Oryzias latipes: one gene and its partners. The protein of the gene in region 3 purifies or fractionates together with the protein of the main gene of each other region. This does not show direct contact. Links are inferred from orthologs where the notes say so. Each region holds a gene or a part of one and is shown on either strand. Other genes may lie near its edges.

Region 1 (3,240 bases), on a different chromosome or scaffold from region 3:
AAGGGATGTTCCTCTTTTCACGAGTCCTAAACTGTCAGGTATCATTTACTTCATTAAAAGTAAAGATGACACGAGGAAGCGAGAGGCAACAGTTTGACTCTTTTCTCACAGCTTCTCTGTTCGGTGTGTGCCTCAGAGCAGGTTGATCTTCAGATGCTGTCTACAGTTTTCAGGTATGAAGCAGAGAGTCCACAATAATTCTATCTGCAGTGACTTCAGATCAAGCAACTCCCCCGCCGTGGTTTGCCACCAAACTTCCACATCACTCTCTTTTCTTCTTTTTGAACCATTCCAGGGGTCTGCTCAGACACAGCAATCCGGGCCCGTTTTGGTGACGCCTACGTGTTTGCTACCTGAATATTTCTGCATTTCAGCGTCTGTGAGCTGAATGCTGCCAGCAGCAGTGAAACAGCATGTTGGGTCACGCCTGCTGTGGTGGATTTCTCTTCCTGTTTTTGGAGCAGATGTGGGCGATAAACATCAATAACACAAGCACTGGAAAGAGAGAGGCAGTTCACCAGAATCAGAACACTGTGAGTCTGTGAGGACGTTCAAAACTCAATCCAAACCACCTGATAATCATTTATTTCATTTCAAGCAACACCTCTCTTCTTCCCGGGTTAGGAGGTACACAGGCACCACAGGCTCATACATGCTGTAACAAAGACATGACGCAATGCATTCTGGGCCGCTGGCTGCTTTGGCAGTAGTGTGGCGGGGTGGGAGCGGACACTAAGTCTTTCGTAGGCTGACGTCGGTGCTGCTCAGCAGCGGCGACAGCGACGTGTTCTCCGACGGCTCCTCCCTCTTCAGGATGAGGAAGGCCTCACGGCTGATCCCCAGCAGCTCTCGGAGGCCACAGTTCTCCATCTGGAACGCACAAACACAACCCACCTCTAAAGTCTCTGAACGGCTACGGCAGACAGAGAGGAGCAAGATTCACACATATGCTTTAAAAAACGTGTTCAATATCAACAGTTTGTCCGATCATGTATAAGCAATCAAATTAAGCCTCCCACAGTGAATTAGGCTCGACATCAACAATTCATTGTCTTTTCCCAAAGCTGACAGTGTTGGGTTCACTTTTAGAACCACTTTTTTATGTTCTATGTCAACGACACGGTCAAAATGTCTCAACAGCTAACTTGCACTTTTATGCTGATGACACGATTATTTCTTGTTGCGGATCATCTCTCTTTTGAGGTCATAAAAATTAGGGATGGGCGATATAATTTTTTTTACGTCCGATACCGATAACCCGTATTTCCCCTACAACTGTGTGGCTGATAGCCGATATTTGCCGATACCGATACTTAAGTGTCCACAGGTGTGGCTCTCAAACTGTGGAGCGCACCTCCATGGGGGGGGTGCGAGTCACTGGGTGGGACAAGGCTGGGAAGTGGGGAGGACGACTAATGTTTGGACATCGGAATTTTTTTCGCAGCGGAACACAAACAAACCGCGGTTCGGGACTGCATATCCGCGGGTGTCACGTCACTTACATCGAGCTGATCCTAACCGTGACATTTGAAGACGTAATTATGGTTGTCAACTGCGGTTTAACATCTTAAAATAACGCTAATGCCGCCTGGACGTTGACGCATTTAGCACATGCGACCGGTACAGATTGGAAACTGTGATTTGTTGAAGAATGGAGAAAAGCATGTATAATGGCTAATGCCTCCGCGCCCCCCAAGGGAGGCGTGTCCTACAGTTTGAGAACATACAAAATCAATGATCCTTTATTTAATTTATTAAGGATCATTCACTTGTACACGTCTTCCCTGCGAGGATTCTTTCTCAAATGTTTCTTAGACAACAGTTCTCAATACGACTGGCTGATAGATCCAGCTGCTGATGCGAGCTCTGCTGAGGAGGATCAGTCCATTGAAATCCCGTCAGACTCCACCCTGAAGATGAGGTTTACAGCACAGACACCCCCTGAATCCTGCTGGGTGTAGAGAGAGGGAGCATTCACTCAAAGGGCAAAAGGCTGGGGGCATTCTGCTTCCATTTTACGTTCCATTTTCTGCTGTTACCACTTTGAAAACAAAGCACAGAGCTAGGCTCAATAATGAGCAGGACTTGAGAGTTGCTGCAGTAACAAACCTGCAACCTTGTTTTGAAAAGATGTGTAGCACGAAGCAGGCACATTGCAGCCATTTACACAACTTTGTGTTTCTTTTTGCACATAGGTTCAAATGTTATTAAAAAACAGTCAGGAGATCATGGTAGATTTTGAATATCTGAAATGCAAATTATGCAAATATTGTGCAATACAGATACAGGAACCAATTTATCGCCCATCCCTAACAGGAACCCTGATGGAAACTTTTGAACGTGCAACTCCTGCGGCCTGGAAAATCTGACAAAAAAGTTGGAGACTAATTGAACTACCATTAAATGTCTTTAAGGCCAAACCAACAGAGAATTGCACAGATTACTGTGACCGTCTTGATCACAGTTTTCACTCATTTATAATTCAGTTTTATCTGTCATTTTTTACATTTTTTAAGCATTTTTTCTAGTGGTGTCAAATTATTATGTTAATTGCGATTAATAAATTACAAACTTTCTTGCCTTTTTTATTTGTCTCTATTTTTATCGGGTTAATCTTTTTTTTTTTTTTTTTTTTTTTTTTGCGTTGGATGGTTACTTCCTTAAAGTCTGGCCATGCCTGAAAATGTACACCTTGAAGAGCATTGTCCCGCTTATACCATGCTCACTCACAAAAACATAAAGATTAAGTATCAGAACTTCAATCATGTCATATTTTAAAGTTTAAATTGTTTTTAACGAAAAGAGGAACAAAGCATCATTTCAGAGGGAAAGCTCACCTCTAAATGTTGGATTTTGTTCAGATGAAGCTAAACTTTAAAGGTTGTCTTCTCTCTTTGTCTTCAAAATGATCAAATTCCTCAAACAGGTCAAAGGAAACTATCAAATCCCACCAGGGCTCCAGACTGCGACCAAAATTTGAGAGTGTGCGACTGAATTTTACATCCAGTCGCACATGTGCTACCAGTAAATTTGCCTCCCCCACCCTCCGTATTTTTTTATACATTAAACGTGGAAGGGGCACGTCAATGATCAATGAAATAATCAATGATACGCGAGCGCACACGCACGCAGGCAGACACACACACTCGTGCACATATTCATGAAACGCAAGCACACACTCGCGTGATGCCTGTCTGTGAGGCGGCGAATGCGTGTTAGAAGAATAGGGAAAGCCACTGT
Region 2 (2,452 bases), on a different chromosome or scaffold from region 3:
AGATCTGCTGGATGTAATCTTCTTCCATTTGCAGGATTCTGGAGAAGTCCTCCTCCTTGCTGATCTCGATGTCGGTCTAGAGGCAAACAGGCGGGTCAAACGCTGCACCACGGCGCCGTTGAGGACACGAGCTCCAGTGCACTGTACCTGACTCTCTCCTTTCTTGTACTCCAGAGAACAGTCCAGCAGCACAATCCTGGGGTTTTTGATCATCCGTCTCATTTTGGGGTGAGTGACGTCCTTGTTGATCATCACGCCTTTCAGCACACAGGAGTCCTCGATGAACCCGCCCGGAACCTGCAGGATCACAGAGGAAGCCGTTTGTAACTCACCGCATTTAAAGTCGCACCTGTTTGATATGAAGTTATTCAAGGGTAGTACCTTTTCTACTTTGGCGTAGTTCTTGATGTCGATTTCTTTGCGCCCATTCTCCTCCAGCTCCACCGTGCGGACGGCGTCCAGGGCGATGGTGCAGGCCAGGTCGGACCAGCGGAATAGAGCCTTGGTGTTGATGGCAGAGTTGACGATCTTCAGCATCATGGAGCGATCTGATGTGTCCACAGGAGTGCTGCAGAAAGTTCAACTCTTTAAGACACGCCTTTAGATTTACTCCTGAGCCGTGATATTCATTAAAAAGATTATTTCAACGGGATACATTTCTCCACTACACCTGCAACCAAAAATAAAAAAATGGTTCTGTCTTGAAAGAAATTGATGTGAATAAGGGATTCAATTTATAAAAAAAAATAAATAAAAAAAAAGTCAAAAACACTCCAGACTATGGATGCTATTACTAAACCCTTTAAGACTGGAGTTGTTGCCATTGACAGAATATGATACACCCTTTCTGAACTAATTGAACCAATTAATGCAATTCCAACAGGTTCTGAGAAAAGCAGCTTTGCACTGATATTACAGTAGTTTCATGAGCCGCATTGAGTTTTGCGGCAGTGACTTTAGAGAATCATGGGAAAAGAAAAGAAAAAACGATCGTTTTTAGCTGTTTACTGGTGTTTTGTTAGAACTTGTGAATAAAGTCATTCGTATTGTGAAAACCATTGTGTTGAACCAGGACGATGACTAGAGGAGATGGAAGGTGGGTTTTCATCCTACATGCAGTAGGTAAAACGTTTTTGTACCAAAGGTGATTTTGATTAGATTTACCATCATAATGTTAGTTTTTTATTTATTCATTTTATTTGTTTTATATATGTTCATAGAAATACAAGAATTTTTTTTTAAAGCAAAAATGCTCATGTTCCTTCTGTTTTACATAAATCAAACAGATTTGTCACTGGCTGCGTTTCCATTGACTGTGAAATCAATACAGCAGATGTTTTGGGAGCTACCGCTAGCTTAAGCACCTCCTAAAGAGAAATACTAGAACGCACTCGGCAGAGCATATTTGGTAGAAGCAGCCTTGAAACTGTTTTGCTGCGAGTGGCTTGACGCATGTTCTCCCCGTGCGTGCATGTGGGGGTTTTCTCCGGCTTCCTCCCAAAAACATTCTTCGTAGGTTAATTGGTGACTTTAAATTGTACCTAGGTGTGAATGTGAGTCTGTGTGGGTGTTTGATTTGTGGCACCGCGACAGACAGGTGACCTGTCTATAACGTCCCCTGCCTTCACCCACGAGTGGCCAGGATAGGCTCCAGCAGCCCCGTGACCCCGAAAGGGGCAAAAACGGGTTTAGAAGATGAATGAATGATTGGTTTGATGCACCAAGTTTAAAGTCACAAACCCAGAGAACAAAATCTAAGTTTTGACTAACCAGCCAAGTTGGCTGATAAATGAAAAAAAAAAAAGTTCTACCAACCAAATTATTCCATATTTTAGAAAGAAAAACTATAGGTGTTATATTAAAAAATGATTTTATGGAAAGACAACATAATTAAAACATCAGATAAAAACAAATGTTTTCCTGAGGAACTTCCGTTTTGATTTTTTTTAATCAATCTTTGCTTCTGCTTTTGCCGTTTTCACGCCGTCTATGAAATGTTGAGTTGTGTCTGTTTTCCTGCTGAAAATCGCCCCCCTGAGAAGAGGGCTTTCAGTCTTCAGTCTTCACCTGTGGTGAACCAACTGTACGGTCAAATAAAAAAACCTGCTGAGAAAACGAGGACAGATTTACTGAAGGGGAGCAGATCGACAAAAAAAAAAAAAATCCTAATTCTGCCTCCAGTTGATTCATTTTGACATGGAATCATAAAAAAAACAGACTGAAAAGATGATCATGTTTTGGATTCTTGCCATGGGCAGTAAAGACGCGGCGCTCTCACGAGGGGAGGCGGGGCTTTTTCCAGCTCAACTCCGCCTCTGTAACGTTACAAAGACACTAATAATAAAGTTCCATAAAAACTGGCTTCAGTCTGTCATTATATTTATAAAATATATATATTTTAAATGTTCCACAAGTTAATTTTGTTGGATTTATCCGCCACGTCTTAAAGTTT
Region 3 (3,760 bases):
CCAGATCGTTCTTTAGGTTCTCCTGGCCCTTCCTCTCCCCCTGCAGGAACGCTATCCGGGCCTGGAAAGACGCAGAACAGAAACAAATGTTTCAAAACTCTTATGTACACAAAAATATTGTGTCAAGAAAACAACCGAGTCACTTCCAGAGAAACCAAATCCTCCTGGATCTTCTCTTTATGATAGGTTTCTGAAAGATATGGGAGTCACTCTTTAAAGATTGTTTACATGGTTGTTGAGTTGAGTGAGGTCATGTGACACCTACATGAATCAGACACTGGAAAGGAGGTTCGGTGAGCAGCTCAGCCTAAATGTATGGCGATGACAAACCAGACAGAGTTCCTGTGAGTCATCGGGAGCTTCTCAACACCCCTGACCAAAACAGCACATGTGGGCTGCAGTTATTCAACCACGTCACCTCATTAAAACGCCACTGTCGTTGTGTCAGTACAGCTATTTAAGACCGACGACGTCACACTGTCAGAGTTTTGCTCTGAATTCATGTCCAGAGGAGCAAAACGTGGCTCTGGAAGCTGGAAGATACAATACAATTGATTTTTTTTTTACATTTATTTTTGGCTTTTTGAGGTTGCTGTGTAAACATCTAGTGCCATCTAGTGGCAACATTGCAGAAGAACAAAAAGACTTAAAACATGAGGAGGAAAAATTTAATAAAATCTAAAAAATGAAAGAATTCGACAGTTTCTAATAAAAAAAGAATGATTTAAAAACACATTTATTATGTAAAATATTGTGTACATCAATAACAGCGCAGACATAATGCCATAACAGGAAAAAAAAGCATATTTTGGTTAAAACTAACTCCTTTTTCCTCGTTATTATAAACCCACCAGTGTCTCCTTCTGCTTCGTGAGTTAAATTTTAAGGGAATTTAAATATCAAATCTCCAAAAGGGAGATCCATGCAGTTTGATGTGAGAGCCTGACGTTGGTTCAGGGTCACCTACTTCTATAAATATCTGATTGGACCATCCTTTGGGTTGTGACATCACAGACCAGGATCAGAGCAGAATCCTCCGGCCTCTTCATCATCCTCATCCTGGAGACTCACAATACGTTCAATGGCTCTGAGGAGTAACCTTATTGTTCAATGGTGATGAAATGATATCACTACCAACACTCTCATTTTGTTTTTAGCCTTTATTAAAGCGTCCCCCCCCCCCCCCCCCCGACAGAAACATCTCCACAGCTGAGATGATGCCAGATATTCCTTCTAAAAACCCAAAAGGGTCTGCTTCTGTCACACAAACTGAGATGTAGAAGCAGCAGATCTGCTGCTGGACACGGCAAAGCCAACACACACCTGGAGCTCCATGAAGAACATGGAGCAGCTCCAGATCCCGCTTCTCTCATCGGGAAGTCATGTTTGTTTACAGGCTGTTTCCAAGGAGAAATCCACAGACTTCAAATGGAAAATGTACAGGAATTCATGTAAATAAATAAAAAAACTGACAGCAAATAAAGACCTAGAATGCAGGAGATCTTCCAGAGGGAGGTGTGACCTGAAAGATGCTTCGCAGCCAACCAGAGAACCAGAAAAAGCCACTTTTCTATGTATAGGTTGATTAAAAAAAACCTCCAGAATCACGGATTTGAATCGGTAAGGTCATTCGTTTAGGGTCGTCTGACTGTCACGAACAACATCTGACCAACATCTGGTCCAAATGTCAAAACAGCACGATTAACGTATCCACGGCGGCTGCAGGCTCCCGATATCTCAGTTGAGCCACGGGCTCCAAAGCTAACGGCCAACGCACTCAGACTCCCGGCTGGATAACAGACCTCCACGCCGGTTACTCGTCCCCCTTGACATGTCAGTGGGGCTCCGGTCGCTACCTTAAATTCACGTTAATACGTATACCGATAAAAGGTTATTTGAGATCCCCGGTGACTGTGGAAAAAAAGAAGCTAACCATGCTAATGCTAAGCAGCTAACCCATAGCGACGGACTAACCTGGAGTTCGGCCCGCTCCACCTCCCAGTGCGCCCTCTCCATTTCGAACCGGGCCCACTCGTGCTGGATGTAGTGTAGAATTCCCGGGATAGTGTACTGCTGCTGTGGCCGGGCTAACTCGTCCGTCTGCTGGGGCACCATGACCGTTCCGATGGGAGGTCCGGAGTTGCTCCCGTGCTGCTGCAGCGGCGGCGGCCGCGGGGAGGCCGCTCCTCCCCCGCCTGGGTGTTCGTCCATATTTCGGGTTTTGTTAGAACGTGCGGCGCCGTTTGTACTTAATGATTAGCTAACCGATTTTAAATATTAAAGAAGGAAAAAAAAAGGCGCCGAAGGCCTCGCGCGTCTCCGCCGGGGTACTTGTCGCGCTGGCACCGCCGCCGTGGAAGAGGCCGGCTGCCCCTGAGCGCTTAGCGGAGAGCGGCGACTTGGAGGCGGTGTTTACGTGTGAGTCTCACCGGCCGCCATCACTGCTGTCCGCCTGGATGTGACGGCTGCGAGGGGGAATCCTGCCGCGCTGCATGCCGGGAAATCCAGACACACATTTAGACCCCAAACCTAAAAATAAAATTACGGAGCCCGTGTCCTGACATTAAGATATAAAAATATATCTTGTTCCCACAGATTAATATCTTGTTCCCACAGGTTATTATGTCGTTCGCACGAAATACTATTCCGTTCCCACAAGATACTTTTCCGTTCCCACAAGATACTATTGCGTTCCCTCAAAATACTATTCCGTTCCCTCGAAATGATTAACTTGTGCGAACGCAATAATTATGTCGTTCGAACGCAATAATTAATCCGTTCGAACGCAATAATTATTCACGTCATAAGTCATTCACGCGGATATGCTCTCTGTACGCCGGCAAAAGCCGCTTTCAGCGGTAACTTCCGTGTCTCTGTGACCCATATTCGTTCAAAAAAGGAACATGAAAAACAAAAATGATCACTTTATTACCGTCTCAATGAATATAAGAAAAATATCAAAAGATTTATGATAACTAGGCTGCTTTGTCAAACGATAGCTCCTGCTAGGCTAGCTCCGCCGCAGAGCTCTCTGTCTGATCATGTATGCCGGCATTTGGGCAACTGGCTGGTCTGTTGTCAGACAGCTGATATTGTAGTTTAGGGTCGAATAGGAATAATAATATTCAGGACTTGTCTTTTATTAACTTTAGCAGTCAGTATTTTTACATTCGAAGGCTATTAGGCTACATGCTAACTGACTAGCCGATCATTTCCTGTTATTAATTTACGTCATAGATTTACAGCAGATACCTTCACATTTCTGTCTGTGTGTGTCTCATTACATTGCATTGAAGACACGGAGGATGTTTAGAGAACAGATTTATTTATTTTATTTATAAAAGCACAGAAGCATCCATCGTTTTCACGTTCACATCTGGTACGCCCTCAGTCATCTTGCTGCAAAAGCCGCTTCCTGCCGCTACTTCCGTGTCTCTGTGAGCATTCAATAGGGGTAAAAATAAAAGCAAGAATGGTCGATCTGTTATTTTCTCGATGAAAATCTGAAAAATATCATATTAAGCTGGATGCTTCGCCTAAAGCACTTACCTTTAGCTTGTAGCATAACAACAATAGCAGTACGTCCCGTTTCCCAGAGTGCTTTGCTGCAAATCACTGGCCAATCATTGGTCTTGTTGTTAGACCTTGGTCACAGGGACACGGTGATTGGCTAGTGATTGGCAGCAAAGCACTCTGGGAAACGGGACGTACTGCTATTGTTGTTATGCTACAAGCTAAAGGTAAGTGCTTTAGGCGAAGC

What was found.
Region 1: the proteins of strn3 (region 3) and fgfr1op2 purify together in Homo sapiens (affinity purification with mass spectrometry; 5 studies listed by BioGRID and IntAct, with this or other methods). This does not show direct contact. The link is inferred for Oryzias latipes from reciprocal best matches to the Homo sapiens genes STRN3 and FGFR1OP2.
Region 2: the proteins of strn3 (region 3) and cct3 purify together in Homo sapiens (affinity purification with mass spectrometry; 3 studies listed by BioGRID and IntAct, with this or other methods). This does not show direct contact. The link is inferred for Oryzias latipes from reciprocal best matches to the Homo sapiens genes STRN3 and CCT3.

What each region holds. Positions count from the first base shown.
Region 1 is NC_019881.2:3,917,757-3,920,996, reverse strand, and holds the end of fgfr1op2 (FGFR1 oncogene partner 2), read right to left. Parts: intron 871-3,240; coding exon 733-870; 3' UTR 564-732; downstream 1-563. UniProt on the Homo sapiens protein: May be involved in wound healing pathway.
Region 2 is NC_019869.2:4,734,871-4,737,322, reverse strand, and holds part of cct3 (T-complex protein 1 subunit gamma), read right to left. Parts: intron 569-2,452; coding exon 382-568; intron 298-381; coding exon 148-297; intron 77-147; coding exon 1-76. UniProt on the Homo sapiens protein: Component of the chaperonin-containing T-complex (TRiC), a molecular chaperone complex that assists the folding of actin, tubulin and other proteins upon ATP hydrolysis.
Region 3 is NC_019880.2:2,602,865-2,606,624, forward strand, and holds the start of strn3 (striatin-3), read right to left. Parts: upstream 2,473-3,760; 5' UTR 2,212-2,472; coding exon 1,975-2,211; intron 62-1,974; coding exon 1-61. UniProt on the Homo sapiens protein: Calmodulin-binding scaffolding protein which is the center of the striatin-interacting phosphatase and kinase (STRIPAK) complexes.